Nothobranchius furzeri: one gene and its partners. The protein of the gene in region 1 interacts with the protein of each later gene in a biochemical or structural test. Links are inferred from orthologs where the notes say so. Each region holds a gene or a part of one and is shown in the gene's direction. Other genes may lie near its edges.

What was found.
Region 2: the proteins of psmd2 (region 1) and ube3c form a complex in vitro, tested with the Homo sapiens proteins (2 studies listed by BioGRID). The link is inferred for Nothobranchius furzeri from reciprocal best matches to the Homo sapiens genes PSMD2 and UBE3C.
Region 3: the proteins of psmd2 (region 1) and ublcp1 form a complex in vitro, tested with the Homo sapiens proteins (3 studies listed by BioGRID). The link is inferred for Nothobranchius furzeri from reciprocal best matches to the Homo sapiens genes PSMD2 and UBLCP1.

The regions. Positions count from the first base shown.
Region 1 is NC_091753.1:19,341,399-19,353,118, forward strand, and holds the start of psmd2 (26S proteasome non-ATPase regulatory subunit 2), read left to right. Parts: upstream 1-5,163; 5' UTR 5,164-5,225; coding exon 5,226-5,348; intron 5,349-6,432; coding exon 6,433-6,489; intron 6,490-6,583; coding exon 6,584-6,748; intron 6,749-7,660; coding exon 7,661-7,782; intron 7,783-7,990; coding exon 7,991-8,215; intron 8,216-8,303; coding exon 8,304-8,462; intron 8,463-11,685; coding exon 11,686-11,720. Other genes in the region: prss59 (thymus-specific serine protease), read right to left, coding at 4,198-4,379, 4,557-4,757. UniProt on the Homo sapiens protein: Component of the 26S proteasome, a multiprotein complex involved in the ATP-dependent degradation of ubiquitinated proteins.
Region 2 is NC_091747.1:47,535,095-47,546,034, reverse strand, and holds part of ube3c (ubiquitin-protein ligase E3C), read left to right. Parts: intron 1-273; coding exon 274-360; intron 361-441; coding exon 442-599; intron 600-677; coding exon 678-904; intron 905-4,747; coding exon 4,748-4,852; intron 4,853-5,048; coding exon 5,049-5,136; intron 5,137-7,704; coding exon 7,705-7,802; intron 7,803-7,885; coding exon 7,886-8,018; intron 8,019-8,619; coding exon 8,620-8,867; intron 8,868-10,940. UniProt on the Homo sapiens protein: E3 ubiquitin-protein ligase that specifically catalyzes 'Lys-29'- and 'Lys-48'-linked polyubiquitin chains.
Region 3 is NC_091750.1:56,491,747-56,501,492, reverse strand, and holds ublcp1 (ubiquitin-like domain-containing CTD phosphatase 1), read left to right. Parts: upstream 1-846; 5' UTR 847-1,001; intron 1,002-1,257; 5' UTR 1,258-1,420; coding exon 1,421-1,574; intron 1,575-1,711; coding exon 1,712-1,803; intron 1,804-1,914; coding exon 1,915-2,000; intron 2,001-2,093; coding exon 2,094-2,209; intron 2,210-2,360; coding exon 2,361-2,459; intron 2,460-2,732; coding exon 2,733-2,770; intron 2,771-3,108; coding exon 3,109-3,207; intron 3,208-3,517; coding exon 3,518-3,634; intron 3,635-3,700; coding exon 3,701-3,828; intron 3,829-3,924; coding exon 3,925-3,952; 3' UTR 3,953-5,697; downstream 5,698-9,746. Other genes in the region: il12bb (interleukin-12 subunit beta), read right to left, coding at 6,323-6,350, 6,433-6,551, 6,631-6,791, 6,948-7,117, 7,208-7,313, 8,283-8,459, 8,659-8,760, 8,864-8,957. UniProt on the Homo sapiens protein: Dephosphorylates 26S nuclear proteasomes, thereby decreasing their proteolytic activity. Recruited to the 19S regulatory particle of the 26S proteasome through its interaction with 19S component PSMD2/RPN1.

The DNA.
Region 1 (11,720 bases):
CCCCATAGATTTTCTATGGGGTTAAGGTCAGGCGAGTTTGCTGGCCAATCAAGGACAGGGATACCATGGTCCTTGAACCAGGTGCTGGTGGTTTTGGCACTGTGTGCAGGTGCCAAGTCCTGTTGAAAGGTGAAGTCTGCATCCCCATAAAGTTGGTCAGCAGCAGGAAGCATGAAGTGCTCTAAAACTTCCTGGTAGACGGCTGCATTGACCCTGGACCTCAGGAAACAGAGTGGGCCAACACCGGCAGATGACATGGCACCCCACACCATCACTGACGGTGGAAACTTTACACTGGACCTCATGCAACGTGGATTCTGTGCTTCTCCGCTCTTCCTCCAGACTCTGGGTCCTTGATTTCCAAAGGAAATGCAGAACTTGCTTTCATCAGAAAACATAACTTTGGACCACTCAGCATCAGTCCAGTCCTTTTTGTCCTTGGCCCAGGCGAGACGCTTCTTGCGCTGTTTCATGTTCAAGAGTGGCTTGACACACGGAATGCGACACCTGAATCCCATGTCTTTCATGAGTCTCCTCGTGGTGGTTCTTGAAGCGCTGACTCCAGCTGCAGTCCACTCTTTGTGGATCTCCCCCACATTTTTGAATGGGTTTGTCGTCACAATTCTCTGCAGGGTGCGGTTATCCCTAGAGCTTGTACACTTTTTTCTACCACATTTTTTCCGTCCCTTCGCCTGTCTGTTAATGTGCTTGGACACAGAGCTCTGCGAACAGCCAGCTTCTTTAGCAATCACCTTTTGTGTCTTGCCCTCCTTGTGCAAGGTGTCAATGATTGTCTTTTGGACAGCTGTTAAGTCAGAAGTCTTCCCCATGATTGTGGTGCCTTCAAAACAAGACTGAGGGACCTTTTAAAGGCCTTTGCAGGTGTTTTGAGTAAATCAGCTGATTAGAGTGGCAGCAGGTGTCTTCTATATTCAGCCTTTTCAGAATATTCTAATTTTTTGAGATACCAAATTTGGAGTTTTCATTAGTTGTCACTTATGAATATCAAATTTAAATGTAATGAACATTGGAAATACATTGGTCTGTGTGCATTGCATGAATATAATGTACAAGTTTCACGTTTTGAATGGAATTACTGAAATATTTTCAACCTTTTGATGATATTCTAATTTACTGGCCAGCACCTGTACATATATGGACAATGTGTTTCCATAGACTCCAATAACAAGTTTTTGAGCTAAAATGGGAGGTGGCCACCACCGCCATTTTGACCGTGTCACAGGTTCCGTCAAGCCCAGACAATTCCACTAAAGGGAAGAGAGGAGGAGCTGAGGGTGGGGCTGCAAGGCTGGGATCAACCGGTCAAACTAGCTACAAGCTAACCTGAAGCTAACCCAAAGCTAACGCAGAGGTGGGAGCTAAGCTAACGGAGGTAGCAACCTAGCTACAACCAGAGTTAACTGTGCACAACACCAGAGCTTCTGAGTCAGAGATACGCCGGGCTGACCGCTGGGTAAAGCCAGGTGGAACACAGAGGTCTCCGAGACCTCCACAAGCCGGCAGCTGCACAGCAGACAAGCGCTGCTGCGATCTGAGACGCGCAGAGCTGCCGCTGGGGAGAACCGGGTGGAAAGGTTTCCATCCCAGAGCTCCACAAGCCGGCAGCCCGCGCAGCAGTCAGAAGCCGCGATCAGACAGAGATGCGCCGAGCTGCAGGGAGGGGAGAACCGGGTGGAAAACATCGGTCTCCCGAGAGCTCCACAAGCCGATAGTCGGAACCCAGCTCCACCAACATGTTATATTTCAACCCATTTTCTAAAGTGCAGCATTATGTTAAATGCACTGGTTTTTACCCTATTACATTTAAATTTCATGGTTAAACAGTACATGTTAAAATCTAAGCTCAGCTCGGCAGTGACCTAAAATACATAAATATAATTTTACTTATAGAAAAAAATGAAGTGGAGATTCCTTGGACATTCTATTAGTGCAATTAATGCCACAGCACGTCATTTTGTCCAACAATTGCACAAATAATATCCAAAAAAGAAAACACAAACACAGAGACTCAAAATCCCGGAGCAGTTTCCAGGCCAGACCGAGGCTCTACTGAGGCCTTTCCACGGAGCTAGCTCTGTGGTCACGTGGGTCTGATGCTCATTAATTATACAGAATTTTAGGCTTTTAATACACTTAAACAGAAGAGTGAGAAAAAAAATCACCCCCCCTCAGAGTTGTCATGAGTGTAAACTAGACCATTTAAACCAAAAACATGTTATGGTACCAGGCTGTAAACATGTTTATTTCTGCTGTGAAATTGGTATTTTTATCATGGGAGTCAATGAGGATTTGCTCGCTTCTGACACCAGCCCCCAGCGGATGAGGGTGGAACTGCAATTTTTGGTACTTCCGGGTTGGACTCAATTTTTCACCCGCATTGTGGGGGCTTGGTCAGAAATCAAATTATGAAGAACCTGCAGCAAGTTGCTTACAGTACATTTCTCTGTTACGGTTCTATTATCAAGTATAAGAACACTTAAACATTTTATCCCCACTGGACCTTTGGGTTTCTGTAGCAGATCTTCTCTGCTTTTACAGCAGCTCTGTCTGCCCATGTTTTCACCTTGTGACAGATCAGTCAAACAGAAACTATTTGAATTCAGTGTTGCACTCGTGGTAAACTAAAATCTGAACATTATGAAACATGTCCATGCAGCTTGTTTTGTATTGATTCTGTCTCATGATTATCCTGTCACATGTTCAATCCTCACTAAACAGCTAATTTCTGCCCCCTGCTGATGGAAGCACTGTCTGCGGTCAACATGAACTCTGAAAAGTTCCTTCCTACATAACTGATTTTACTTTAGACCAAAAATATGATCATTATAATATTTTTCATTATCTAGCACCTTTAAAGGGACTTTACGGAGTTTTGAATTTTTATGCTCGCAATTGCCCCCTCAGGCCAAAAGCGTAACGGCAGCTTCAATAGTAGGCTCGTGCACGAGGCGCGCATGCTGTACGTGCACACTCCTTAACGAAAATAACAGCTGAGACAGTCCGTTGTGTGTGTGTGTGTGTGTGTGTGTGTGTGTGTGTGTGTGTGTGTGTGTGTGTGTGTGTGTGTGTGTGTGTGTGTGTGTGTGTGTGTGTGTGTGTGTGGCCCGGAGGACAGAGGACAGGAGAACGTGCAGCTAATTAATTAAATAATGTGGTTCTGTACCTTTCTCTTCAGCACAGCCGACAAAGGTTTATGATGGGTCAGTCCTCCTGCATGATCAGATCATTCCCTTCCCTTGCTTGAAAATTGTTCCAAAATGAAAGTTGAACCCACATCTTTTTTATCTGTGAATTCAATGCCGTTCGGCAAGTCTCAAATAAAAATTTGGGCATCTTACTGTAAAAAAATATACCATTAATGTAAAAAAGAAACTCTAAATAAGCTATGTTCACATCCAGAATCGAACCCAGGTCTTCTGCATGGGAGTCAGACATCTTACAAGATGAGCTATACTCTAGTAACAGTCACAGTATCTGTAACTTTTATATCCTTGATGTCGATGACAGATGAAACAACGTCAAACCAAAGAACGGTTCGAAGCGAAAATGGCTATTTTGTTGCTAATTTGCAGGAAATATCTAGAAAAAAGTGGCTAAGGGTCCTCAGAAATGTAGCTAGGTTCATCACTAGGCATTAGGAACAGCGACAAAGTCGCTGAGTTGGCACTACCTCTCTCTCTGCTGCTGAAGCTACTGATAGCAAATGCTACGGGCTATGCCCGAGCGTGAACGCGCATGAAGCAGCCTGCTCGACCCGAGCAGCTCTCTTTTTCTGTGATTTTACAGAAAAACAGGCAATCACAGTAAAAATGCCAGGGCTCATTCTACAGGACCAGGGCATTGCAGGAGAATGTATGAAGAAGACATTTATTATTTCTATACATGTTTTGGCTGTCAAACTTCCATAATGCCCCTTTAATTATAAGTGATAAATGGGTCTGGTTGGTCAACATTAAACACTAAAGACATGTTTTTATTAACTTGAACACAAATGCAGCTGGTTGTGGTTGTCTTTTCAGCTGATCAGAGAACTGAAACCTTCTGTCTAAATATAGTTATCTGCTGTCCTGCACTTTGCTTCAGCCACTTTCATACTATTGCATTTGACTCGACATGCACACTGTGACTGTCGAGCTCTTACTCAACACCATGTGTGTTAAACAGCGGCAAACGTACCCTGTGGGGTGACTTTTCCCATAGAAACGATGTTCCAGCATCAAGCACAGAGCTCCCAGCTTCTCAGCATAAGTGAGCCAGGTCCCATTCTGCATCCATCCTGGATTTGCTGGACCTTCTCCACCTATCATCAGAAACACAGGGCCGCCGCTCTTGTAGAAGGACTCATTTATGAAATATCTCTGGAAGAGACAGAAGAGCACACGCCTTACACAGATGCTGTGTGCAGATGAAGTAAACAGTCAGCAGCTTTTTGACACATTCAACACAATCTCACATTGATCCAGTACATTTTCAAGTATTATTATTATTAGCTGACACGCATAAAACATGCCACAGAGCTGATCAGGCAGACTCACTTGTTTCCACACTCTGCTGTCTGCACCATTGAAGTGGTCCAGTTTCTGTGTGAACCACTGCTCCTCACTCCCAGCTCTCTGACTGGAGTCCACATGAAACTTTCTGAAGCCATAAAACCTCCCCTCTGCCACAACAATCACACCAAGCTGTAAAAATAAGGACACTTTACACAGAAAAAGCACAAGAACTCGAACAGCCATGGTGGTGTACTATCAAGGAAACAGTGAGAGGCAGCATGTGATCAAAGTCATGTGACCTGCTGATGTGTTACTTCAAATGGCTCGAAAAACGTAGGAAATTTGAGTTTCCTATTCACACACTTTTATATGTGATTTCCGTACCGAATAAGCATCTTGAAATATTAAATAGTTTTAGATACTTTATTATAACACCACGCGTTTTATCATATCTCAACATATGTGCGGACACAAGTCTTTAGATTTGATAATGTGCACTACTGAAATTAGCCAAGTACAGAAATTTTATTTTATTTTATTTTATTTTATTTTATTTTATTTTATTTTATTTTATTTTATTTTCGGGCATAATCGAACGCTGTTAACTTATGGCCAGCAGGTGGTGGTAAATAAATTCTTACAAGGTTTATTTATACCAAAGAAGAAGAATCCACAGTCGCCGAGTTCCGTGCTAACTCAACGCTTTCAATCATGGAGGAGGCAAAAAAGAAAGAGAACAAGCAGTCTGAAAAGAGCGATGAGAAGGAAAAGGATAAGGAAAAGGGACAGCAGTCCTCTGGGAAAGATAAAGAAAAGAAAGAGGAGCAGGAATTGGTAAGTTTGTGGATTTCTCTCCCCTCTTAAGTGCTATCTAACGTTTCAGGCGCTTGAGTTGTTCTTTTGCCTGAGTCACTGCCGCTGTGACAACACGGTGGAGCAGGCCAAAGTCAGGGACATTTATTTTTATAAACAGCTTATGAAGTCTCATTTAGCTTACCGTGAACATTACTTTTATAACTTTTAACCACCTTTACCCGCTAATTGTTTTAGTCACGTCAATGTCAAAAAATGTGTCCTGCTAGCCTAGCCTGCCCCAGCCGGTGTGCTAGCGTTAGCTGAGCAGACTGTCATCGGTGTTAAACCAGCCTCACGTTGCCCCTCTGTCACACAGCATCTGGGATAAAGTCAATGAATCCGCTGTGTTTAATCCAGCTGCTGCTAACGTCATTAGTGCAGTTAGTTTATATGAATTTATTGTTAAAATAAACTTATTTTACGCTGTTGTTAACTGTGTATGAGTCCAGTCGTCTATAGCCAAACTCACGGCATTTCAGCACCTATAATATCGATCATATTAATACTAATGATTCTGATTTTCTGTAACCATTGTGGGTTCAGTCACCAGTTTAATTTTACATCTAAAGATCATCTCAGGATCCTCCATCACTGTAAACCGGTGATTCAGTAACCAAAGCAGTGGTTTAAAGTTTTACGTCTCTGACCCCCAAACGTTAAAGTTTACAAGTATTCTAGACAGAAAAATACACAAGCGCATTAAAACACAGAGAGCCTCAACATCTATGATCCCCTTGCCACTACTGTGTCTTGTAAAAGTTATGGTAATAAAATGAAATTGTCAATGTTATATTTATTTATTACATTTAATAGGATTTCAGAATTTTTTTCTTAGGATCTACAGTAAATAAGCCATGTTAACCATTTTCCCTACTAAATTTAACATGCAGAAAGTACCTGAACCCTTAAAACATGATGGAATGTTTCATGTAGTTTTATGTACTCAGTTTATAAGGCATTGTGGCATTCTTATTTCCTTCTTAAAGGCTGCAGATCTGTTAACCAGCCTGATTTTGTTTGGTGGTGATTACAATAAATCTTGAATTCCCTTGTGGTTTCTCAGTCAGAGGAAGATAAGCAGTTACAAGAGGACCTGGAGATGATGGTGGAGAGGCTAAGTGTGAGTATCAGTTTTTTTTTAATCACTTTTCTGTTTGCCAACGTGGCAAAACCATGCAAAGGTGAAGTAACATGCCATTCTTCTGTTTCTGCAGGACACGAACACAGCGCTGTATCGTCCTGCATTAGAAGAGCTTCGCAGACAAATCCGGTCCTCCACCACCTCCATGACCTCCGTACCTAAGCCCCTGAAATTCCTGCGCCCACACTACGGCAAGCTGAAAGAAGTCTATGAGGGCATGGCTCCTGGTGAAAATAAGGTAAGTCTCTGCTGCGAGGATCAGAATTTAGAAAATCAACGTTACAGCGCATTTACCAAAGATTTTGTGCCGTCAAATGTCATGCCTCCCCCCACGTTTTATCATCTTCAATGTCCCGCTTCTGCTCATTGTCTCCTAACCTTATGTTTCCCTACTTACCCGATGTTACCTCTTCACTTTGCTAGTGCAGCTCTGGATGAGGCTGTACCACGATGTCAAATGGAAACAGTCGTGTTTGAAATTTGTGTGAAAATTCTCGAAACAGAGCTTTCGACAGGGTGTCTTTTAACCTGTAATCTTTTTAAAATATGTCGAAATAGGGCTGGGCAATAAATCAAAAATGTATTGTTATAGAAATTTCGGACTCTTATCGAGATAATTTTTCCCGTGTCAATAAATTTGATAATAAAAAAAATGAAAAGATGTGTGTAGGTTCATGTCCCTTTAAGAAGCTGTACCACCTTGAGTCATGTAAAAATGGGACTCAATACATGTGACAGCCCCATCTAGTGGACAACTGTTGTTTCTGCGCATACCTGTAGTTATCGTTCGTTTATCATTATCGAGGTGAAATCCTCAATATATCGTGATATTGATTTTAGGCCACATCGCCCAGCCCTAGTCCAAACCATATAATGTGACTAAAGTCAGTATTTTCATTTACCTTACTTCTTATAATATAATCACGCGTGAATTTATCCAGTTTTTGTGAAACAAATACAAGAAGAACATCCCTCAGCTTCTGGTGTTGAACTGAAAGCCTGTGTTTGACAGGCTGGGTAGATTTAGAGGTCACCATGTATTTAGTTATTCTAATCTATTGTAGTTACATTAATCAAACTAACGTGTTAAAGACTTATCGAGTAGTCTGTCTTGTGGTTTACAACATGACGTCTGTGTATTTTGTCGTAGCGTTTCTGTGCTGACGTGGTGTCGGTGTTGGCCATGACGATGAGCGGCGAGAGGGAGTGTCTGAAGTACCGTCTGCTGGGCTCTCAGGAAGAGCTGGCCTCCTGGGGACACGAATACGTCAGGTAAACCTGATCCAGATCAGCCGCCATGTAAACGCAGGAGGTGCAGGACTGTTTGGGTTTGTTTTGGGATTACAGAGCAGCATCGGTACATCATGACTGTTTAGAGGACATGTGGGAAAAGTCTTTATAACATTTTTCCAGTTACGCTCTGTAGTTTGAGCCGACTCTGCTGATGATCACCGCTTTCTCGACTATTAATGTCCATCAGGCACCTCGCCGGAGAGGTGGCCAAAGAGTGGCAGGAGGTGGAGGAGAATGATAAGACCCAACAGGAGACCCTGCTGAAGCTGGTGAAGGAGATTGTGCCGTACAACATGGCCCATAATGCTGAGCACGAGGCCTGCGACCTGCTGATGGAGATCGAGCGTTTGGACATGCTGGAGAACTATATCGATGAAAACGCCTACGGAAAAGTCTGCCTCTACCTCACCAGGTTAGCTCAGAAAACACGCCTCTTCCTTCACTCTGTAGAATGTAAACAGAACGAGTGAAACCTAAGCTGGTTTGTGTTGTCTGTCTAGCTGTGTGAGTTACGTCCCAGAGCCAGAGAACTCTGCTCTGCTGAGGTGTGCCTTGAACATCTTCAGGGAGTTTAACCGGTATCCAGAGGCCCTGCGCCTCGCTCTGATGCTCAATGACATGGAGCTGGTGGAAAACATCTTCACCTCCTGCAAAGACATGTAAGGAGAGCGCCTCTGTGACCTGCTACTGTCAGACGAAACGGGTTTATAATCATCATGCTGCAGATGTTTTCATTTCACTAATCAAACCCACGTGCGACTTTTTTTAGCCGATTTTCCACTCGTGCGAGAATCTACGAGATGGGGGCGAGTTTTGCGCTGAGCGTGGTGTAGCATGCAGGGTATAATGAGACGACTACCACCACACGACCAGCTGCCAATCAGCAATCATAAGCTTGCATGTTTGATGTTTTGCTTGTCCCTGGCAACGGTTTCGCACTGTTGAAGCGGAGCTGCGACCCACAAAGTACCAGAACCGCTCGCAACGTACGCGCAAACACGCATCAGCACGGCTCACCAGCTACAGTCAGGTCCATAAATACTGGGACATCGACACAATGCTAACATTTTTGGCTCTATACACACCACAATGGATATGAAATGAAAGGAACAAGATGTGCTTTAACTGCAGACTGTCAGCTTTTATTTGAGGGTATTTACATCCAAACCAGGTGAACGGTGTAGGAATTACTACAGTTTGCATATGTGCCTCCCAATTAAGGGACCAAAAGTAACGGGACAGAATAAGAACCATAAAGCAAACTTATACATTTCATTACTTGGTTGCAAATCATTTGCAGTCAATTACAGCCTGAAGTCTGGAACACATGACATCACCAGACGTTGGGTTTCATCCCTGGTGATGCTCTGCCAGGCCTCTACTGCAACAGTCTTCAGTTCCTGCTTGTTCCTGGAGCGTTTTCCCTTCAGTTTTGTCTTCAGCAAGTGAAACGCACGCTCAATCAGATTCAGGTCAGGTGATTGACTTGGCCATTGCAAAACAGTCCACTTATTTCCCTTCAAAAACTCTTTGGTTGCTTTTGCAGTATGCTTTGGGTCATTGTCCATCTGCACTGTAAAGCGCCGTCCAGTGTGTTCTGAGGCATTTGGCTGAATATGAGCAGATAATATTGCCCGAAACACTTCAGAATTCATCGTGCTGCTTTAGTCAGCAGTCACATCATCAATAAATATAAGAGAACCAGTTCCACATGCAGCCATACATGCCCACGCCATGACACTTCCAGCACCATGCTTCACTGATGAGGTGGTATGCTGACCCCAAAATTCCACTATCTCTGCTCCGGCACGAACTCCGCATCAAAAACGGTTCCGTTGTAGTCAATCGGAGCTGTTCCACTACTGCGGCCGTGCGGAGCACCTCCGCAGTAAATGGACAGAAATCACAACGGCCCAACAGGAAAGGGAGCAAGCACACCTTCCGTTATTTCACAATAAATCGATAAACAAAAAGCATTTTTTGTTTCATATGCACAGGTTTAACAACTTTTAACAACTATCAATGACGGTTGAACTTTAAATGCACAAAAATAAGCCATAAATACAGTTTCTACTATCAAATTACACCCATTGTTGATCCAAACACTGCTGATCTCTCAACACTAATGATGAGCAGATTAAACAGTTCATTTCGATGCTTCTCCCACACAACGGGTGTTTGGATCTAACTTCCGTGTTTATTGCTCGGACTGTATCGCAAGATCTCGAAAATCCCACGCATGCCTGTTTGCGCCCCTCAGGTCTCCGCACCGGAGCGGAGCCGTTGTAGAGCGGGTAGAGTATAATTTGAGTTCGGAAGCGGGCGGCAGCAGAAAGTGGGGCGGAGCGGAGATAGTGGAATTTTGGGGTTAGGATCATGAGCAGTTCCTTTCCGTCTCCATACTCTTCTCTTCCCATCACTCTGGTACAAGTTGGTCTTGGTCTCATCTGTCCGTAGGATGTTGTTCCAGAACTCTGAAGGCTTTTTTAGACGTTGTTTGGCAAACTAATCTGGCCTTCCTGTTTTTGGGGCTCACCAATGGTTTACATCTTGTGGTGAACCCTCTGTATTCACACTGGTGGAGTCTTCTCTTGATTGTTGACTTTGACACAGACACACCTACCTCCTTTCATCAACCTTTCGTTTATGATGGCTTGCTTCTCTGATAGTGACAGCTCTTTGGATCTCATCTCGACAGTTGACAGCAACAGATTCCAAATGCAAATAGCCCACTTGAAATGAACTCTGGATCTTTTATCTGCTCGTTGTAATTGGGATAATGAGGGAATAACACACACCTGGCCATGGAACAGCTGAGAAGCTACCTGTAATTGTCCCGTTACTTTTGGTCCCTTAATTGGGAGGCACATGTGCAAACTGTAGTAATTCCTACACCGTTCACCTGGTTTGGATGTAAATACCCTCAAATAAAAGCTGACAGTCTGCAGTTAAAGCACATCTTGTTCCTTTCATTTCATATCCATTGTGGTGTGTATAGAGCCAAGAATGTTAGCATTGTGTCTATGTCCCAGTATTTATGGACCTGAGTGTATTTCCCTATAAACACACGTCAGTCATTTATATTTATACACTACTTTCACACACAATGACGGTGATTGTCAAGAAAGCGTTTTTATGTCAAATTAAAATGAAAAAACATTGATTTAGTTTTTCATCTTCCTCCTCCAACCCCATGAGTTCCTGTGTCCTACAGCACTCCCAAAGGACAACCGTGTCCGCCCAGCTTCTGGTCGACGAGTTTATTTACTTCAGCCTGTTGATGCAGATGTCTTGAAGAAGGTGTTCATTTAGATGATAATTTTAGATTCCTGTGTTAAGATTTTGTCATTCCTCCTGTTTGCAAAACGTTTGTAAACGCCAAGGAGCGATGGCCAACAGCAAGTTTTCACTGAGCGGGAACAGTTTGGTCTCAAGAAACAAAAACTTGCAAATAGTTCGACCGGAGTGAAGTAGATGACTGCGTTGGTGGAAAGTACATCCACCAACGACGGCGCCACTGTTGTTGTTAGGCCGACCAATCAGGCGTGTGCTCTCTGTTGTGTTCAATGAATAGTTAAAAATGGGACTCTACTCTCTCCATCCTTGCATGCCTGTCAGGGAGCCTAGGGATCCACGGATAATGGCGGCGCACATCTCCGCAGACGGAGACGTATAAAACAGGCTTAAGAGTTCAAAACCTCTCTTGTTGGTCAAAGACGTTTCCTCTCCTCCGAAAGGCGTCTTCAGTTCAGATTGTCCCATCCTGGATTAACGCGGATCCACATCAGTTCTTATGTTTATCTGATCTTCTGTGACACCCCCTCCTGCTGAGAGTAAACGTGAGCTCAACGTAAGCTCCCCGTGTGTCTTTGTTCCTGCCAGAGTCATCCAGAAGCAGATGGCCTTCATGCTGGGTC
Region 2 (10,940 bases), on another chromosome or scaffold:
GCAACTAGTTTACTAATGGAGGGTGCCTTGCCTAAATAAAGCTTAATGGCTCGTTTAATCTCCTTTTGGCCCCCGCAAAGTGTAAAAGGAGAGAAAGGCCAAGACAATTCTCTATTAGGTCAGTGTCTTTATTTTCCTTCTTTCGTTTCCAGTTTGGGAGAGGATCTTTTTATTGAATTGTGTTGTTCCAAACAGCTGTAATGGATTTTTGTTCCTGATGCTGGTTGAAGACGGTCGTAAACGTAATAAAAACTACTGTTTCTGATTCTGCAGGCTGCTCTACAGCTTAGCTTTCAACGCACGTTTCCTGAGGCATCTCTGGCACCTGATAACTTCCATGAAAACTAAAATGATCACCGGGTGAGTTGGTGAATCGTTACACCCTCTTAATTCCTTCTGCATCCACCATGTTTCTGGTGTCATGTCTGCTTGTCTCCTCAGCTCCATGGTGCCGCTGCTACAGCTGATCTCTCGGGGGTCTCCCATGTCGTTTGAGGACTCGAACCGCATCATCCCCCTTTTCTATCTCTTCAGCTCTCTCTTCAGTCACTCTCTTATCTCGGTGCACGACAGCGAATTCTTTGGGCATGAGATGGATGGTAAAGGACCGTAGCTGTTGCAGACATGCCCTCGTTTACATGAGCACCTGTTTGAAGACACGTTCCCCCTGTGAACAGGTCAGATCCATTCGTCCATGATGCCCTTCACGCTCCTGGAGCTGGTGACTTTGTCCCGCTGTCTGAGAGACGCCTGCCTGGGGATCATCAAACTGGCCTACCCTGAGACAAAGGCGGAGCACAGAGAGGAGTACATGGCTGCCTTTCGTAGCGTCGGCGTCAAGACGAACGCCGAGGTCCAGCATTGCATTCACGCTGAGCAGAAACGCTGGGTGCAGCTCTTTAAGGTACACTTTTTATTCCCTCTCATTTTTTACTGGTTTTATTAAATGGACCTGATTGATTAACGTTGAGTTGAAACATTTTATTAATTTTTTTTGTTTGGCAACTTCAGGTTTAGAGGTTGAAGATAAAATTGTTTAGTTGACTGAGACTCCCACATTTAAAAACTTTTTTAAAATTTTTATTTATTACCAAGAAAATCAGTTTTAAATCATTTAATTCCAAAAGCTTTTGTGGATTTTTTTGTCTTTCCTTTTTCTTTAAATGCAGCTTTATTCACCTGAAATTCTTGCATTTCTAAATATAATTTATATCTTTTAAACATTTTGCCTAAAAGTAGAGCTGGGTGATAAAATAATAGCAATACTTATCTCGAGAAAGGTTTTCCCTGTTACCACGGGAACAGGTCGATAAAAACTTTTGACATAAATGATAAATGACCCGCACTTGTATAGCGCCTCTCAGAGTAAGGACTCCAAAGTGCTTTACACTACAGTTTATCATTCATCCATTCTCACACTCATTCACACACTGATGGTGATGAGCTACAGTGTAGCCACAGCTGCCCTGGGGCGCACTGACGGAGGCCGGCGAGGCTGCCGAGCACAGGCGCCGCCGGTCCCTCCTTATAAAGTTGCTATAAAGTGGCTGGAGTAGAGCCACACAACATGCTAACGGCTAATGTTTGTTCAGCTTATTTCAGGCACCATGTAGGAAAAAAATTAGCACTCTGAAAGGAAAACGATGGAGGACACAGGAAGTGACATCGTTGACCTAAAGGGCCTGAACAGTTCTGTCGTTTGGACGTAGCTCGGCTAAACAAAGTAGCTGTGCCATCAGTACGGACTAAGCTGGGGAAAGTCAGTTTTGGCTCTTGAGCCAGCGCCACCTGCTGGAGCGGTAGGATCTAAACAGATATAATCCCAGATACAGTAAGAGTGGTGCTAAGCACCCCCATTCTTTCACAGCATAAACATTATATGTTTTATTTATGATATTTAAAATTCTCCCATAATGAGCATAACAATAAAAATTATTTTTATAAATGAAACTGAACATTTGCTCTAAATAACAAAAATTTAAAATGTAAATAATAATAAATGTCTCTGCAGTAGCTCCATATTTAGCAAGATCCAAGACACATTTTTTTGTTTTATGTTTATTTACGCCATGGTGATTAGACCTAATTGTTGTGTCGTCTCTTTGTGCGCCGACGTAAAGATGTGTAATGATTATCTTTTAGAGGAAATCAGCCGTATCTGCATGAGCAGGCAAAGACAAGATAGAGCTCCATTGGTTATTTACTCAAAGGAAATGAGGCAGAAAATGGCATGAACCCAGTTCCTCTCTCATTCTACATCTTTTATTTGATTTTTCCTCCTTTTTCTGTCTTCTTTCTCTCACCCAGCTCTTAACTCTGCTCTTTTTGTTCTTGGCCGTTGCACAGAGGGATCTAAAAGTGAGTTCCGTGAAAGGTGTCGAATGCACACACAAAAAAAGCACGTTTTCATAAAAGATCTGCTCAGAGGCCTCTTTGTCAGCTAAAACGACCCATTAAAGAAGTGAAGAGCAGGGAAAATGCATTTTCCAAATTGAACGTTGGGATTTACAGTTGGTTTAACGCCGCTGACCCCTAACACGTTAATGTTTGGTTGGTGTCATCAGCCGTCCCTCTCCATCTTTTATCACCCCCATTGTCGAGCTATCTATTTAATTGAAAGAAGTTAATTGAATGAAAATGATCAACTAAGCTTGTATTAATATTGCTAATGGAACTTTCTTCTTGGCCATGTTTGGAGAACGGTGTCACATCGGAGTTTGGGAAAGGCCCATTAAGGTTTGCACTTAACCCGATGGGCTAATTAAGGAATGCTTATTCATTCCCAGAGTCAGGGGCTAGGTCTGCTCCAGACCCATCTCCACGCACATTGTACAGCATTTTGCACTTGCCGTTATTGCACACTCCCGTTGCCTCCTGGTGATTGGACGTGATTGAGTGCCGCTCTATGAAAATGACGCGCCTTAAAGGAGAACGTTTCGATTGGAATAATCCAGCTGGGGGTATTATATGGAAATGGACTGGCTGTAACTTTTATCACATCAATGACATCCGTTGACATTATTCAAATGGCTGTAACTCGCCATAGCAACAAGGCAGCCTGCTACCACCAGGGCTGCTGGCACATGTGCAGAAGAAACTTGTGATTTGAGGGTTTTGGTTTAGGGACATCATCAGAGATAAGAGATGTGCTGTTAATGAAGCAGCAGCTAGCTGCTTCAGTCGGATTAGTCGGCCACCTAGAGAGGATAAAACACCTCTTCAAGAGTTGGAGCACATTTGAGCTTTAAAACTGCGTAGGCAATTATTAATATGTTTGGAAGTTTTGTTGTAGTTTTCCTTTAGCCTGGCAAGCCACCTTATATATTTAATATATAACCTGGCCACGACCCATAGACAGATCAGTTGTACACTGTAAAAACTCAATAGGGTTTACTTAAAAAAATTAAGGGAACAAAATAACACATAATAAAATTAAGTAAATTTAAATTTAAAATTCTGTAAAATCTAGAGAAAATTTTAATTAAATCTGTACAAAAATATAAGTAGATATTGATGCAATTAAACAGTAAATGTGTGTTAGATTTAGTGTGAAAATCTCAAATTAATTGTTAAAATTACCTGATTTGAACCAAAAATGAAGTTTAGATCAAATAAATTTTTGTGGAAAGGACTCAACTTTTCTAAGATTCTTAGTTAAAACAACTTAAAGACTCAGGGTTTACCTTACACAGGAATTCCAGAGCCACAAAATCCTCCCTCTCTCACGGACGGCACACGGAAGCAACCCCCCCCCCCCCCCCTTCCAGGTGACACATGAAAGCAAACCCCCACCCAGTCAACTAGCACCATGGCACGAGACATTTCTAGGGGAACCACTGATACCCATAACAAATAAATACAATTGTATTGTTTTTTTAAGTAAATTCAAATTAATCAATTTCACAAAGAAAACATGTAAACTTTAATTGGTCTAACTGTGGAATATAGGACCAATCAGAGCACAGAACAACACAACGTATTAATCGCTATGGAAACCAGTCGGCTGGACACCGTCCCTTTTGGAACGTACATGATTTAAGTACCTCTTATCTACTCATGTCTCAAAGAAATGTCCAAATTGTCCAAAGTTGATGCCAGTCATTCTAAATTAGCGCTGTTCCTAAACCAACTGTATCTTTGTACATTTGCTTCAGCGTCTCTACAAACGGAGCGCTCTGATTGGCCTGGCCTAAACTCAGCCGAGCCAATGGTAGACTGTTGCTTCTGAAGCTACAATCGAGCGTGCTAGCATGCAGAGCAAGTACTTAGCTACTGCTATGTTTCGTCTAGATTTCTAGGCTTGTTTTCATCAATATTTCCAAGAGATCGTCAACCTTGGGTTTATTGGTATCTCTACTGCAAAATGAAGCAATCCTGTTGCAGAGTAGCGATAAATTACCACTTTCATCTATTTAAAGAAAGAAAATGGATTTTATTTGTTTTTAAATGCCATTAACTGCAAGTAGCTCTGTTAACGGTGAGGCTTTTGCTTCCCCTGCCCGATGGCTGATGTCAGCAGACCTCGCTGGTAATTAACAGGGCTGGACGTTGAGCAACGGCGCAGCTCGTTTTTCTTTTATACTCCCATAAATGCTGCATTAATGGCCATATTCTCAAATTGATTTTTTTCCATAAAGCCCCTCATCTCTGTTCGAGAGAATATTGTGGGAAAACTTGTTTATTTATTTTCGTGTTGTAATGGGCGAGTTTATGCTGACGTGATGGGTGCGCTTGATCTACAATGCAGGTCATCACTAACTTGGTGAAGATGGTGAAAGCTCGTGACATCAGACGACCCTTCTGTCCAGCAGGTCACTGGCTGTCTGAGGAGGTCAACATCCGAGCGGATAAGGTACTCAGCTGTCGTCTTTTTTTTACTTCTTATCTCTATTTTGCATTTTTGTTTGATTCAGTGTGAAACTTCAGTCAATTAGAATGAATTTTTCAAATATAGTCTTTGATTTATAGCATTAAAGGTTTTTTTGTGTGCGTATAGATGTATCCTTCATCTAGATGTAAGGGAATCATCAGGAGTTTTTTTTGTCCAGGTCACTCAGCTGTATGTCCCGTCAGCAAGACATGTGTGGAGAACACGCAGAATGGGTCGAATCGGGCCACTTCAGTCAACTCTTGATGGTGATTTAACCTATTTGAATTTTGCATGATAAAAACAAACCTTTTACAAGATAAATCACTCAAGATTGTTTTTTGTGTGTGCAAAAATAAGCACACTAAGTTCCCCTAAGCTCAGATTTATTTGCAGAAAATCTAAACAAAGCCATTAACCTTCCTTGTTCTCACTAAGACCGATTAAACACATCCCTTCATTGCCTCCATTAACCTCAAGCGAACGAAAACACTTAGGCAGGCTCACTTTGAGCCATACAACATGCCTGTGATGTATAGTGTGAAAACAGGCATATAACAATGTGTGTATGATCTCCCTAATGCCGCTCAGGCTGTATGAGATAAATTCAATTAGTGTGAGAGTACCTGATGAACTCAGCCACATCTGCTCCGTGTGTTTGTCTGGCCTTTTCTCATTTCCTTAAATGGACAAGCCCAAGGCTGATAAATGAGGCCCGTATTGACCACTCCGAGGCCATATTTCTCCTCAAAGATGGAAACCTGATGGGAAAATGCAGATCAGGTTGACTAATTGAGCAGAATAATTGAGCTGTAGTTGGAATGGGAAAGGGTGAAGAGTAGGATAGTGATTGTGGCTTGAAGCGAGGGTGGTGGGGGCGCTTAATGGTCCAAACTCTGGGTTTAAGCAAACATTAGCCTATTGGATACATCTCAGCAAGTGGACAGACTGCTCACAGATGAGTTAATTAAAAGAGTGTTATTAAAAGGCTGTTGGACAGATATGCCATTAATGGTTGGTTTGTAAACAGTCTTAATCACAGTGTTTAGCTGTTAGGAAGGATAATGTAGGGTGAGTGGGCTTCTGCTGTTAGAGCAGCTATTGCTAACAGTCTCAACGTGCCAACGCTGGTTTGTGACCAAAGCTATATGGAAAGTAAAATGGAAATTACACCTTGTAGCTGGACTGTTACCAATGGGAAAAAAAAGTAAATATCAAAATACGAATCAAGAAAATTACTTGACTGAGTTATTTTCAATGACTCTGCATGCTTTTTCAGATTTTCTCGAATTCAGAACCACATTTATCTTTGCTATCTTCAGTATGCTTTTCTATGTAACTCAGTAATGTTGTAATGGTCAGAACAGCTGGTACAACACGTCGAGCATAAGCACACCACCTTAAATCTGCATGTCCCAACCCACTTTAACGTCTGCAGTCTATAAACGTTAATAGCGGTAATACCAACTGTAGAACAATGCTATCCCGAGCTACAGCTAACGCTGGCTTGAGCTACTGCCAGTGCTAACCCAAACTTCTGCTAATGCTAGCCCGAGCTTCTGCCAACGCTAGCCTGAGCTTCTGCTAAAGCTAGCCCGAGCTTCTGCTAACTCTAGCACGAGCCACTAATGATTGAAACTCGAGCTACGGCTAACGTTCTTGTTGGATAAGAGGAAAACAACGAAGAAGAATGTTTAGGCACATTTGTAATTTTTTGGAATGTACATTTTTAGGGCTTCTGGTTCATTATGAGCCCAAACAAAGTTTCATAAGTTGCATAAAGGCTCAAATAACAGTTTTCTTTTCTTTTATTTTGTTAAAATGTAGTTCTAGAACCTGTTTTCTAAACCCCTTAAGCCCTAGGCCTATTTTGAAGCCTATTCCTCGAAAAATGGTAAAAATTGTATTTAATGGTAAAAATAGTTTAGATAGCCTTGTAGTGCTGGGTTTGCTAGGGCTTAGGCAAAATACATCGTGTACAGAGTGCAGAAGGCTGCTAGGTGGAGTATCTTAACTAGTAGATACACAACATAACAGTCAAAACATGCTAGGGCTCAACAGTTTTAGGGAAAAATTCAGTTTCAATTTCAATTTGATTCACAATTTTCTTTAAATCAAGCTTCAGCACATTTTTCACGATGTACTGTAACATTTACAAACATGACAGGAAATGACATCATACCATCAAAACATTAAAAGCTGCTTTTCTAATATTACATAGATGAAATTGAAAGTTAAGAATTGCTTTCAAGTGTATTATTTAAAAAAGAAACATGCATTAAAAGTTTCCCTAGCATTGTTTCACCAAGGTGGGTCCACCTTCACACCAATCGCCAAATGCCGACAGATTTTACTCGCGTTCTTTGATACCATACTATACCGTACTATAACTCCACAAAGGTTTGTGCCATCAGAAAATTTCAATATCCACATAGTGTTATTATGTAAATCCTTTTTGTTGCAGGAAACGAGCAAGTAAGATTAGAATAAGAATACCTTTATTTGGCCCTCAGTGGGGATATTGCAGACTCACTGTCTCACACTCAAGAACAGCGCAGAGTGAGGGACAGACAATTGCGACAGAGACAGACGACCACATTAATAAATAATATTGGCCACAGTAGTGCCACGAAAAGGAAAGCAAACTCGTAAAAATAACCAAATGTGCCACTATTCTGAAATTACAAACTCGATCAGAAATTGACAGATTGTTCATTCCTAAAATTTGTCTTCCATGAAGTATTTGGGAGAAACATTTAGTAAAAAATTGAGTGTATCTTGACAAGTGGAAAAGTTGTTTATAATCTTATTTAAAATCGGTTTATGTTTTACTGCAGTTGGTCTGGAGCCTCTGCAGCTATCCGTGTCCGAGGAGAGACATCTGGCCATCCTCACCGAGCTGCCTTTTGTTGTTCCTTTTGAGGAGAGGGTGAAGGTATCAGAACATGTTTCCTGTTCTACGTGTCTGAACTCTGAGGATCATTACTGACTGTCGCTGGGTTCACGTCCGCCCTCTAGATCTTCCAGAGGTTAATCTACGTCGACAAATATGACGTGCAAGGAGACGGGCCGTTCCCCGATGGCATCAATGTCACCATCCGACGCAACTACATCTACGAAGACGCCTACGATAAACTCTCTCCAGAAAACGGTACCAGCGGCGTCTTCGACTTTAGCAGCATCTCCTTACTTTGTGTTCTGTTTTGTTTGTGAAATCGGCCTACATTACATCCTGTTTGCGCTCACATGGTTCCAGTGAATGTTTCTGAATGTCTTATTATGTTCTATAAAGCCTCAGTAATGAAGATCCAGTTTCCAGTTTGCATTAAAGATGAAGAACGCCGCTCTCCTGGAACAGACTATTGGATTTCAGTAAAGCATAATTGTGATTCTGATTATTGTAATGGATCACATAAAAGCAGAATCAATTATTTTAAGTCACCTCTTTTGTGTTTGAATTTGAAAGGCTACTTCAGCGAGGGGGTGGGCAATCTGATTAAAAAGAGTAGTAGGAGACCTGGACTGAAGACATGATCTATATCATCTATGTGTCCATAAGTTATAGCCGCCTTGATTTATCTTTGTACCTTTATTATTCTGAAAGATGACCTGAAATTGATTCGAATGTTTGGCAAGTTAAGAAAGGGCTTCAATGAAAAGTGTGTTTTTTAGGGATTGTTTTGTTTTGCTTTAATATTAATGAATTTGTTTCTTGTTCCATCGGATATTTATTCTTTGTGTCCTTAAACCAGAGCCGGATCTTAAGAAAAAGATCAGAGTCCACCTTCTAAACGCCCACGGTCTGGACGAGGCAGGCATCGATGGTGGAGGCATCTTCCGCGAGTTCCTTAACGAGCTCCTCAAGTCGGGCTTCAATCCCAACCAGGGATTCTTCAAGACGACCAACGAGGGCTTGCTGTACCCCAACCCTGCTGCAGAGATGCTGGTGGGGGACTCTTTCACGAGACACTACTATTTCCTGGGCAGGATCCTTGGAAAGGTGAGCCTTTCAAAGTCAAATTTAATAAGATGTAAAGGCCTAGCCTTCCTTCCATGTCGGAGTTGAGAGCCAGACGCCTTTTAGAGTTTTTACAATACCAGTACATCAACATTACCTGGTTTTTGATCAATAATATTTTAAGACTAACGTGTTTTTTTTATAAGTAAACTGATCAAAAATGGCAAACTTTCTGTGCGACTGGTAAACTACAATTTATTTTTTATTTATTTTGTTTCCCTAACTAAAATGTACGGGAAACTACAATTTAACATCTTTGTACAATGAGTTGAAAACACAGAATTTAAATAATAAATAAAAAAAACAATAAGTTAGTATTTACCTTTTAGTGCAAAACAAACACAAACTGCATGAAGATCAAGTTTAAACTGCTATCGCTTCTTTGGTTAAAAAAAATGTCTGCTCTCTAAAATCCTGAAATATAAAACGTTTATGTCCCAAGGAATTAAATAAATAAACATACAGTAGAAATGAAAAATGAAACAAGTTAAAACTATGTACACTAAACTTTATTCTAGCAATTTTTCTTCAGAGAAAAGGAGCCTGATGTCACCACCGGTTAGAGATGGACCAGGCAGATATTTACCTTTTTTTTTTTTTTATTGGCATCGGTCGACAATTGTCCTCAGTAAAGGCAGGCACATCCTCGGGCAGCCTGGTGCCTGGTACATTTAATTTAAATGTATTTTTACATTCACTAGTAACATCTGCATAATAAGTACCCTAAATGAACTTTAAGATTTAACAGTTAGTTGAATTCAGAGTCAAAAACCGCATCAGCTTTGGAAATTTTGTGCATCAACTGATGTTATTAGTACCATTTTAGCATGTAAATAAGGTGGAAAATGTCTGGAAATTGGCAGCACATATCGGCCGTCGGCTGACTACATGTCGGTATCGACAATAGAAAAAAACAATATCGGTCGACCGCTACCTCCAATGTGCAGCAGAGGGAGAAGCTTGTGGACTCGGGTCTGATTTATTTTATTTGCAGTGGAGGACGGTGCATGCTTTGGCTATAAAATTTCTTGTATTTTCATATTTAGCGACACAAATCTTATCACAGATTTTTCATTTACTTTCACAAAAAGCAGCCAAACTTTTGATGTTTTCAATGGTTTCTTAGTTTGAGAATCTGAAGAAACGTTGTAAATGACACACAGCACTGTCCACCTGACGCATAACGTCGTTTAATGTCCACAAAGCGTAGTAAACAGTAATTAGTTGCCGCTAAAGTGGATGGGTGCTTTTCCGTCGTCTGCTAAGTGTCGCGTTTTGGAAGCGTCCCAGAAGTGTACGGAACTAGGTAGGCCTTACGAGGTAAGCTTCCAAAGCATCAAGCTCACCAGTTCAGATTGGGCCAGACAGGATGTCAAACACAAAAGCAGTGTAAAACATCCAGAAACTTTCAAAATAAAAGTCATGTGGAGTTTTCCAGTTGCTTAACTTGTAAGAAGTAGGTCATTATTTGTGACACCTCTATAGCTGAAGTAAACAGAACCAAATGGTTAAAGAGGTACTATGTTTCTGTACCCAGCCCTAACACACACACACACACACACACACACACACACACACACACACACACACACACACACACACACACACACACACACACACACACACAGTGCCTTTTGTTTCCATGATGGGTAATAATAGTAAAGTGTTCTTATATGAACACCGGCTGCATAAAAGCGTGTATTTATTTACTACAATGCTTAAAGAAACTTCTGTCCATTCTTTAAAAAGTAAAACGCTTTTGCACTCCCTTCAGTTCAGGATCATTTAAGTCATCTTCTCCGTATCTGTGAAGTTGCTATTTATTAGAGGCTAATGTTTCTAAATCATCCCTAATGCATGTGGTGGTGGTTGTTTATCAGGATGCTGCTATCATCTCCATCCAGAGAAGAGTTACCTCATGACAAGCAGGTCGCCTCTCAATTAGGACTTCCATTAGCGGATGATTCCTAGCTCTTGTTTGTGTAGCAGCTGCATTCGTGGGGCATTAAATCAGCAGGCCCACGAAGACAGGACATAAATAAGCCTTCAAAGCAT
Region 3 (9,746 bases), on another chromosome or scaffold:
CCGGTTGTAGGTAGCTACCTCCGTTAGCTTAGCTCCCACCTCCGCGTTAGCTTTGAGTTAGCTTGTAGCTCCATCGCTTCAGTTCGACGGGTGTCGTCATTTGATCCAAGCCTTACAGCCCCACCCTCAGCTCCACCTCTTTTCCCTTTTTTGGAATTGTCTAGGTTTGACGAAACCTGTGACACGGTCAAAATGGCGGTGGTGGCCACCTCCCATTTTGGCTCAAAAACTTATAAATGAAGCCTATGAAAACGAATTGTCCAGTATATATGTCGATGCTCAGATCAAAGGTGAAAAAGTAAGATACACATTATTATGTTGTACTTTTGTCCCTGCTAATATCCTCAGCTATTGTTCTCAAGTATCTCTACATTTTTTTTTAAAATGACCTTAATACCAAAATTAAGACGTTTCACCAGAGCAGCTGTGCTTCTTTTACACTTTTGAGTCCAAATGTCTGCCATAACATGAACATAGAACATTTTAAACTAGCTGAAAAGAAGCAAATTCTATGAAAAAAAGTGAAAATTTGAAAACTTTTAATGACCGCCACTTTTTAGTAAAATGTGTCAACTTTGCTAATGGCTCTTCAAATTCTTCTACTGTTATTCAGTGTAAATAGTTTGTGTGATTTTACCTCATAAACACAAACACACGTACAAAAACACTTGTGTTTAACGTATCTTGTAGATTCGCTGTGCTTGTTTGTGTTGTATGATCGGGTGAGGACTTTAGCTGGATTTCCAATCTGTATTTATTTACATAATAAAACCAATTTCTCTAAACATTTAAATTAGAGTAGTTTATTGTCTATGCTAGTCACCATGGTAACAAAGCTTTGTGTATTACGTCATTTCCGGAAAGATTCGGGAGGCCCGGAAGAGCACCGTGTGCGTTTCTCCATGAATGAAAACTGAACCGCAAACTTAATTTATTCACTAACAATAGATACATAATTTTACAGCATTTTTACATAATTTTGCGTTAGCTCGTTTTAACGGGTAAGAATGCCCAAACTGTGGTGTATACTTAGCATAGCCTAGCTAGTTTAGATAGTGTTTACATCGCTGCTAGTTAGAGTTAGCTAACACATGCTAAAATAATCGGGAACAAATTGTGTCTTTTTTGAAAGCCTTTGAATTTAAATGATCAGAAAAACTAGAGTGAAGCCGTGTTCTACAAGAGCAGTCTTTGTTTAATGTTTCCGGTTGCAGCTCTGCCAACTGATAGACCTCCTGTTTGTGTACTTTTTTCCAGGTTCTCTTGCATGTAGTTGTTGCTGGGACTAAAGGTGTCTTCACAAAGATCTATGTTGCACCCGTGAGAGTGAAGAGCCTGTGTGTGTGTGTGTGTGTGTGTGTGTGTGTGTGTGTGTGTGTGTGTGTGTGTGTGTGTGTGTGTGTGTGTGTGTGTGTGAGCCATGTCGGTATCAGTGATCATAAAGTGGGGAGGACAGGAGTACTCTATCAGTTCTCTGTCTGAGGAGGACACTGTGATGGACCTGAAACAGTCCATTAAGAGTTTGACTGGGGTGTTGCCAGAGAGACAAAAACTTCTTGGACTAAAGATTAAAGGTTAGAAGAGTGTAAATATATGAAACCAGAATAAAAGAAACATTCAGATTACACCATTGATTTCTGAAATGCATTTTTTTAAATCACGTGGAGTAAATCGTTTCCTTCTGAGTCTTTGTTTTAAACTCTGTCTTCAGGTAAACCTGCAGAGGACGAGGTGAAGCTGGGCTCTCTGAAACTAAAGCCAAACACCAAAATTATGATGATGGGTACCAGAGAAGAAAGCCTGGTGGGTGGAGAGACGATTAGGCAGGATGGTGACAAACACTAACTGCATGCTGATCGGTGAGCTGATCGGCCTGCTACGCTTATAACTGTGCATATGTTTTGTTTTGTAAAGGAAGATGTTTTAGCCCCTCCCCCAGAAAATGATGATGTCATCAATGATTTTGACATTGAGGAGGAGGTCATAGAGGTCGAGAACAGGTGAGATAATTTGGATTTATTTGGTATCGGAGCCCTCGAAGAGTCTCAGAAAGGTTGCATGTGTGTACATCAAGCTTTTCTTTTTCCTTTTAGAGAGGAGAACCTCGCAAAAATAGCCCGAAGAATAAAAGAGTATAAGGTGGAGGAAATTAACCCTCCCCGAGAAGGCAAAAGACTTCTGGTGCTGGACGTGGACTACACACTGTTTGGTGAGTTGTCGGGAAGCAATGTGAGATGCCACTGATTTGTTTCAACTCCTTATCTCTTTTCTGTAATTTTTTTACTCATAGATTCTTTGTGCAACGTTATCAGCATCTTCTCATCTAAGACACGCTGAATCAATCCTGTTTTTGTGTTTAGATCACAAGTCATGTGCAGAAATGGGTCAGGAGCTGATGAGACCATACCTTCATGAGTTTCTTACATCAGCATATGAGGACTACGATATCGTCATCTGGTGTAGGCATCTTCTTAAGACTCTGTCATTGCTTTAGAACAGACAATATATATGTGTAACTTTGATCCCTGAGGCTGATAATCTGATTATTTATGTCAAAAATGGGCACAAGATTTATTTTAGGGAACACTTTGAATTAGAGGCGTTCCTCACGTTAAAAAAGAAGAATATAAAATAGGATCAGTGTATGTGTTAATATTATTTATTAAAAATATTATGTTTGTTGAAGTGAACTGCTCTGCTTTATTTTTGATTTTCATACTTTTTTTCTGTAGCTGCTACGAGTATGAAGTGGATAGAAGCCAAAATGAAAGCAAGTATCCTCCATCTTTTAACAGTTTTTAACCAACGTACTTCACATATTATATCAGTAGTCCTTTTCCGAGTCAGGAGCAAGACCAGTCATTTTTATTTTTCAATCTTCATTTTTATTTTATCTTAAAAACATTTTTAATGTTGTTTTCATTATATTGAATTTTTATCTTGAAAGCCGCTCAATAAAAAAGTGAAAATCCAAACAGTTATAATTGAAATTAATAATAACACCAGTAGGTGGAAGTGTTGATAATGTAATTTTCATTGCCTTGGTGTAATTTGAGTTGTGTGTGTGTGTGTGTGTGTGTGTGCGTGCGTGTGTGTGTGTGTGTGTAGGAGCTCGGTGTGACAGACAACCCAAACTACAAGATTACATTCATGTTGGATAGTGGAGCCATGATCACCGTACACACTCCAAAAAGAGGAGTGGTGGAGGTCAGTAAACACAAAATAAAACACACACCTACACACACTGTTGTTACACAAACGTAGAAGCAGAAATCACATTTAGCTGCAGAATTCTTTTATTTTGTTAAGCTTTAGTTTGTGCAATATTTTATTACCTTTATACAGTCTAGATAAATGGTTTAGGATGCTTACAGCTAAGAGGAGTTAGGACTTAACAACCAAAGTGTTTGTGCACAAACAGTGACTCCATCAGCGATGCCAACACATTTGCAGCAGTTCCTTCTTGGTGTTTTTGACAGGTTTTTGAAAGTAACAATGATTTTCTGCATATCTCCAGGTGAAGCCTCTAGGGGTGATATGGGGGAAGTATGGAGAGTTCTACAACAGGAAGAACACCATCATGTTTGATGACATCGGACGAAACTTCCTCATGAATCCACAGAATGGACTAAAGGTAGGCCCCGCCCATCTCCTTTTTTCATCTTTATTGAGCCGAGACTTACCTGTAAACCCGTGTTAGATCCGACCGTTCATGAAGGCCCACCTCACCAGAGAGAAGGACAGGGAGCTCTATAAACTGGCTCAGTACTTAAGAGAAATCGCCAAGCTGGAGGACTTCAGTGGACTCAACCACAAACACTGGGAGAGGTAGGAGAACATGTGGAACCCAAAACAAACAAACATCCCAAATATTTATATGGTCTTGTAGAAAGTTTTCATAAAACGATCTGATCATTTGTGCAGGTACCTATCTAAGAGGCAGCCTCACTGATTTAACTCCAAACACCTGGACTGGACGCCTCCGTCCCCCGTTCTGGGTCTCGGACTGAAGTCAAACACCTTTCATTCACCTCGGAACTGACAAAGATTTTGTAATTATCCATATGCATGTGTTCAACCTAACCGTTTTTCTCCCAAATGTTTTTTATTTTTTTAAATTTTTTACAACATCAGTGGTAATTACGACTCTTAAGTGTGTTGGGTAAATAAAAATAATTTACTCCGACAACACTAACTTGAACCAGCTCATGAAGACCTGCGGCTTTGTCTGATAACATAACCGTAAAGCTAAATTTATTCAAAAGTAAACACACTCTGGTGCAACTGCAAATTCTCTTTCCGTAACAAGATAGATGGAATAAACGATTCAGGTTCAGGTCAGTGAGTGATGTTTTCCTCCTCCGTGGAACACTGAAAGCATCAAATTACATCAAAAATATCAAAAGTGTTTTCAGCGACTCAGCAGTCGTTTATCATGTAACAGTTACTCATTTATGCCGCATATCTGGGAAGGCCCTTATGTTCAAGTTGTTATGGAGATCTGTATTAAAAAGTTTGAAATCAAAGGTGTTTACATTTCAGCGGCATGCAGTGATGATTCTGTGGGATAAAACAACATCAAACCCTTTCATCAAAGCTTTGTTTTGCACGTTTTTGATGGAGAAAGTTGTGTTAACGTTGGTAATCATCGCAGACGTGGTTGCACACAGACCTGCAGGGTGGTAAACATTTATTTTCTAAACGTGCAGCGGTGATCAGGTTTCCATGAGTACATTTGTACACGATGCTGCTGCAGCACATTTAAATATAGTTTTCTCCCTTTTCATTTTTGTTGTTTCTGATTTGAAGTAAAACTGTTATAGGTAGATTGTTTGTGAGAAAAGAACAAAGAAAAGAAAAATACCTATTTTTAGCATTTGAAATAGTTGTATTAATATCTTGAGTTTAAATGATGATGGAAACATTTCTGACAAGTTTCAGAATGCTTGAAATTGAAGTCCTTATTTTTTTTATTCTATTTAATGATGTTCCTGATAATGTGGCTGCTAATATCAAAATAAACCTTCTGTTCCCATTTTTTTAAAACCTAACTTGTCTCTGCTCTTCGTTAATGCTAAAGTAATTTAAACATTTCTTAAAGTGACAGTGTGTATTTTTCTGGGTGTAGGGGGCGGGGCAGTATACCTACATCATTGCAAGCAAGCTGAATTTTAGTGCTCGTAAGACCTTATCAACGGATGGCCATTAGGGTCAAAAATCCATGGGAGCACAACCTCCAGCAAAATGACGAGCGCATCAGAATCCCTTTCATCACTGGCAGCGAGCGAAGACATAAATGCGTGAAACAACATTTATGAATGGTGAAAGTTGTGTAAGTGCTACAATTCAGTAAATGCATTTTGTCCTTACGGGCTCCCGTAGAAGGAAACACAATCCCAACCAGGGGTGCGAGTGCGTAGGGTGTCCCGATTCTCAAGTGCGGAAGTTGATCACGCCCCTTTTGCACCCTTGATCCACACTTTGCCCAAGTCTACATCGATGCAGACTTGGGTGAAGGGTATTACCCACAATCCATTGCTGTGGGAGTGCCTTTTCTGAAAACGTATTTTCTGCTGAAAGTTGTGCATTTTAGGACAATTAGTTGATGCACTGAATGTTTTAGACATGTAAATTAATTTCAAATAATTGTTTGGTTGTTTGAAAGTTGTTAATAAAGTTTTTTTTTTAAAAAAGGTATAGCGACCAACATCCAAGCATGCATTGCTGTCACTGATGAATGCTCCCCGTCCCAATTATTTGCACTCTTGCGTACCACGCACTGGAAGCCTTACTGTGCACTTTCTCCAAGTGCACTTTGCTGAAGGGTGCAGTGTGAGTATTGAGATTGGGCCTTAGACCCACTCCCATGTACTTCAGACCTGATTTTTATGGTCATATGTTACAAAGCTGCCAATATGTTTTAACAACTGGGCATCATTTAATTCATCTTCAAGATTTCAACAGATATATTCAGAGATTAATGGTAAAAACGACTCATTGTCTCTTTCAAAGTTTCATATAATAAATCAAAAGCAGCCTCAGAATGTGCTTCAGATGATCACAAAGTCACAGAAACATCAAGAAATTAAGATGCTTGTATAATTTTTTATTATCAAATATTATAAATTATTAAAAAAATAGAAATAAGTTATAGATAAAGGTAGAAAATGATGAATCAATTTAGGGAAAGATGAATAAATACTGTACATTTATGCTTCTGCCTTGTATAAAAAAATATGTAACAAGAAATCAGATTAAGGGAAAGACCGTTTTCCATCAACCTTTTCTTCCTTCTCTCCTGGCAGCCGAACAGAAGCATGAGTTAGCAGACCACATCGCTTTTGTTCACTCTAAAAAGGAAAAAAAAACAGGATGAAATCAAATAAATCATATTTAACTGTTTAGTAACACCTTCAGTCGTTTCCAACTCACGTGCACTGACTCCAGTTGCTCCACGGTCCCAAGGTGTGTTTGTCTTGTGCACGCACACAGAAAACATACCTCCTGGACGTGATGTTCACTTCATACTTTCTGACCTCGGTAATGTTAGTCTGTGCAAAAATAAACTAATAAATAAATAAAGACAAAGGGATGAACAGGAAGTCAGCGTCTGAATTGCGTTTTTCTCACCAGAATGGGCTTGTCGCTGCTACAGGAATGACCAATGCGGGCCACTTTAATCTGGAAGTGGAGCCCAAAGTAGGAACCGGGCTTGTCCCAGGAGTCGGGGGCGTCCCAGCTGAACACTTGGCCACTGCTGACTCGCAGGTTAGGGAGTTTTTCTGGCTTCACTGAGGAACAGAGGAAAAGGGTGAAACTTAACAATAAGCATGGATACAGAGGATCAATGATGTGCAGAAGTCTAGTTGGTTATATGTGCATCAACAGTTCAAGAATATACAAGAAAAGCTCCACTTTTACAATGAAAAGTACATAAAACCACTTACCGATCTCTCTCAGGTAGAAAGACCGGGTGTAGGCCTCTAGGCGGGAGTAGCTGTGGATGTAAACGGTCAGAGTGATGCGGTGCCTTTCCTCTTTGTAAGGGCAGCTAGCGTCCTGGCAAATAACCCCAGATCCATCCGCCTCCAGCTCACAGGGGATCTTGTCCATGTAACTGGAACCAAACAGGTTGGTGAAATTACATCCTGATCAGGACACGACCCGTGAGACATTATAGGAGTAGAAAACATTGGAGTGCCTTTACCGGTTTGTCTTGACCAGGAGCACAGCTGCGTGGGACCGGTGCTGCGTCCTGGTCCAGCTGCAGTGGAACGAACCGTTGTAGTTTGGGGCCAAGCAGTGGATGTGACCTGCAGGAATAAAAACAGTCAGTTCACACATCCGCACTTCAAAATTTTCATCGCGAACAACAGGGATGTACGAACATATTGGCACACTGAAATATTGCAAATTACATGTTATGATATTGTAACAATATTTCTAAGCAGAGTATCAATTTTCATTGAGAATTTACATACAAACAGTGCAATTCAAACTCTCACTGCTAGGGGGCAGCAGATTTGACCTTCATCTTTCTGACGGGACAACCAGCTCTTCTAATACTGGATTTGTCCTGGAATAGTCTGGCTTGAGTCTTCTGATAAAATAAAAAAATGCAAATATCATCTGGATTTTAGTATCACAATTTATCGTAGTATTATGATGAATATCGTATTTCCAGATTCTTCCCAATACACTCCCCTAACTAACAATTACTGGGTAGTCAAAAACAAATGCGTCTAAAAGTACTTTAACTGACTAACCTTATGGTATTATTTTGCCCTAAATAGGCCAAAATTAATCATGTTGAACCAGAATTTTTCTGATGATAAAGAATATTTTTTACACTTGAGCTTCAAGGAAAAAATCAATTTTTAAATCTGCAATCTAGAATATTTATCACAAGGCCAGTTCATAGTTTACATGAGTATTTTCTTGTCGTAACGTAAGTAAAGCTTATTTTTAAAGCACCAATCACAGAAAGAAAAAGCACAACGATCTTCACAAAGAAAATTTACATAAAAATGAAAACAAGACTAAAAAAGATCATAAAACAACAAAAGATTTAAGCAAAAGCGATTTTAAATTGGGGTTTAGCTCCTTTATAGATTGTGATAAAATGTAAAAATAAAGGAAGTTCATTCCAAAGTGGAGGTGCAACAGACTTGTTTTTGTTTAATATTTATCTCTTTTTGTTTGCAGTTTTTTCTGCAACAAAAGCTTATTGTATGGTTCGATAAACACCCCATTCAAACGCCCCTCCATCCTTCTTATCTCACCTCCTTCAGGAGAGATTTCCTCCAGTATGACGGTCCTGTTATCTGGCTGGACCAGGATCACAGTGTGGTTCAGGTATTCTCCGTCTGGACTAAGATGACAAGTGTAGTTCCCTCCGTTCATCTCTCTCACCAGAACCGTGACCCGGTTGCCCTGCAGCGCCGGCGTCAGCTCCACACCTGAGACAGATTCAAGTTAAACACTCAAGTGTCCATAAACGTTAAAAAAGGAGCAAATTTACTGTGTTGTGCCTGATCTGTAATACAGGCTACACGTTTTATAGTACCTTTTATTATATTTACCATTAAATGTTTAATTACCGGCAAAGGTGTGTGTGTGTGTGTGTGTGTGCGCAGGAAAACCTGATAGTTTTATTACCGTTTCTTTTCCAAAACACAGGCTTGTCTTGATACGCTTCTCCACAGCTGAGAGACACTTTGATCCTCGAACCGTGAACGTGAGACACCCTCAGAACCAGAACTAGGAAAACCAGAGCAGAAGAAGTCCAAATTGGCTTCACAGAAGGTAAAAAAAAAAGTAACAGAAATATTAAAGGATTGTGAATAAAGAAAAACATAAGAACCATTGTCCATCAGTGTCTCCTGGTTATGATCTTGGCTATCAGAGGTGGCAAAGCTCAGACCAGCACACAGAACCATCAGGACTAGAGAATGCATCTGAAGGAAATGACAAAAAGTTATGCGGGTTACATACAAATATTATTTGTTAGGTAATTTTAAAATGTCAAAACTCAACAGATTAAGCTGCTGAACAGGAATTCATCACAATAATAGTGTGTCACATCAAAGTTGCAAAAAAACCTGCTTGAAAATGTTATATCGTTGAGAGAAAATGAATAAAAAAACATATCTTTACTCTTCTGTGTCATCATTGGTGGTTGTTGCTCTTTTTAATATGTACATAAATCAAATCTGAGTGAAACAGACTTATAACAAAATAACACGCATAACAAGAGCAGAAAGTACATGAATTCAGATTTTTTAAATTACCTTGATGCCCAAATTTGGTCCAAAATGTTCAGATTTTAAAAGTAGAGCAGGATGAGGCTTTGTTGAGTGAGTGCTGTTTGACTGATCTCAGCAGGCAGCTGGAGTATTTATCAATGAAGAAGCAGAAGACTGGAAAGCCCGACCCCCTCCCTTCTCTTTTTCTCAGTGTGTGTGTGTGTGTGTGTGTGTGTGTGTGTGTGTGTGTGTGTCTTTTGTTGATAAAGTGTAAACAATGATAACAAATTCAAATGAACAATTTTTCAGAATTAAATCATCATATTTATAAAAATCAACAATTTTTTCCCTCAGAAATTTGCTTAAATGAAAAAAAAAACTAACAAAAGTTTCAAACAAAAGACCGGTCACAGTTCCTCTGAAAGTTAAATCAGGTGAACGCTTGTTCGGCCACGCTGACCACTGAGGAGGAAGTGAGCTAAGAAACCAGGTGTCTTGTCA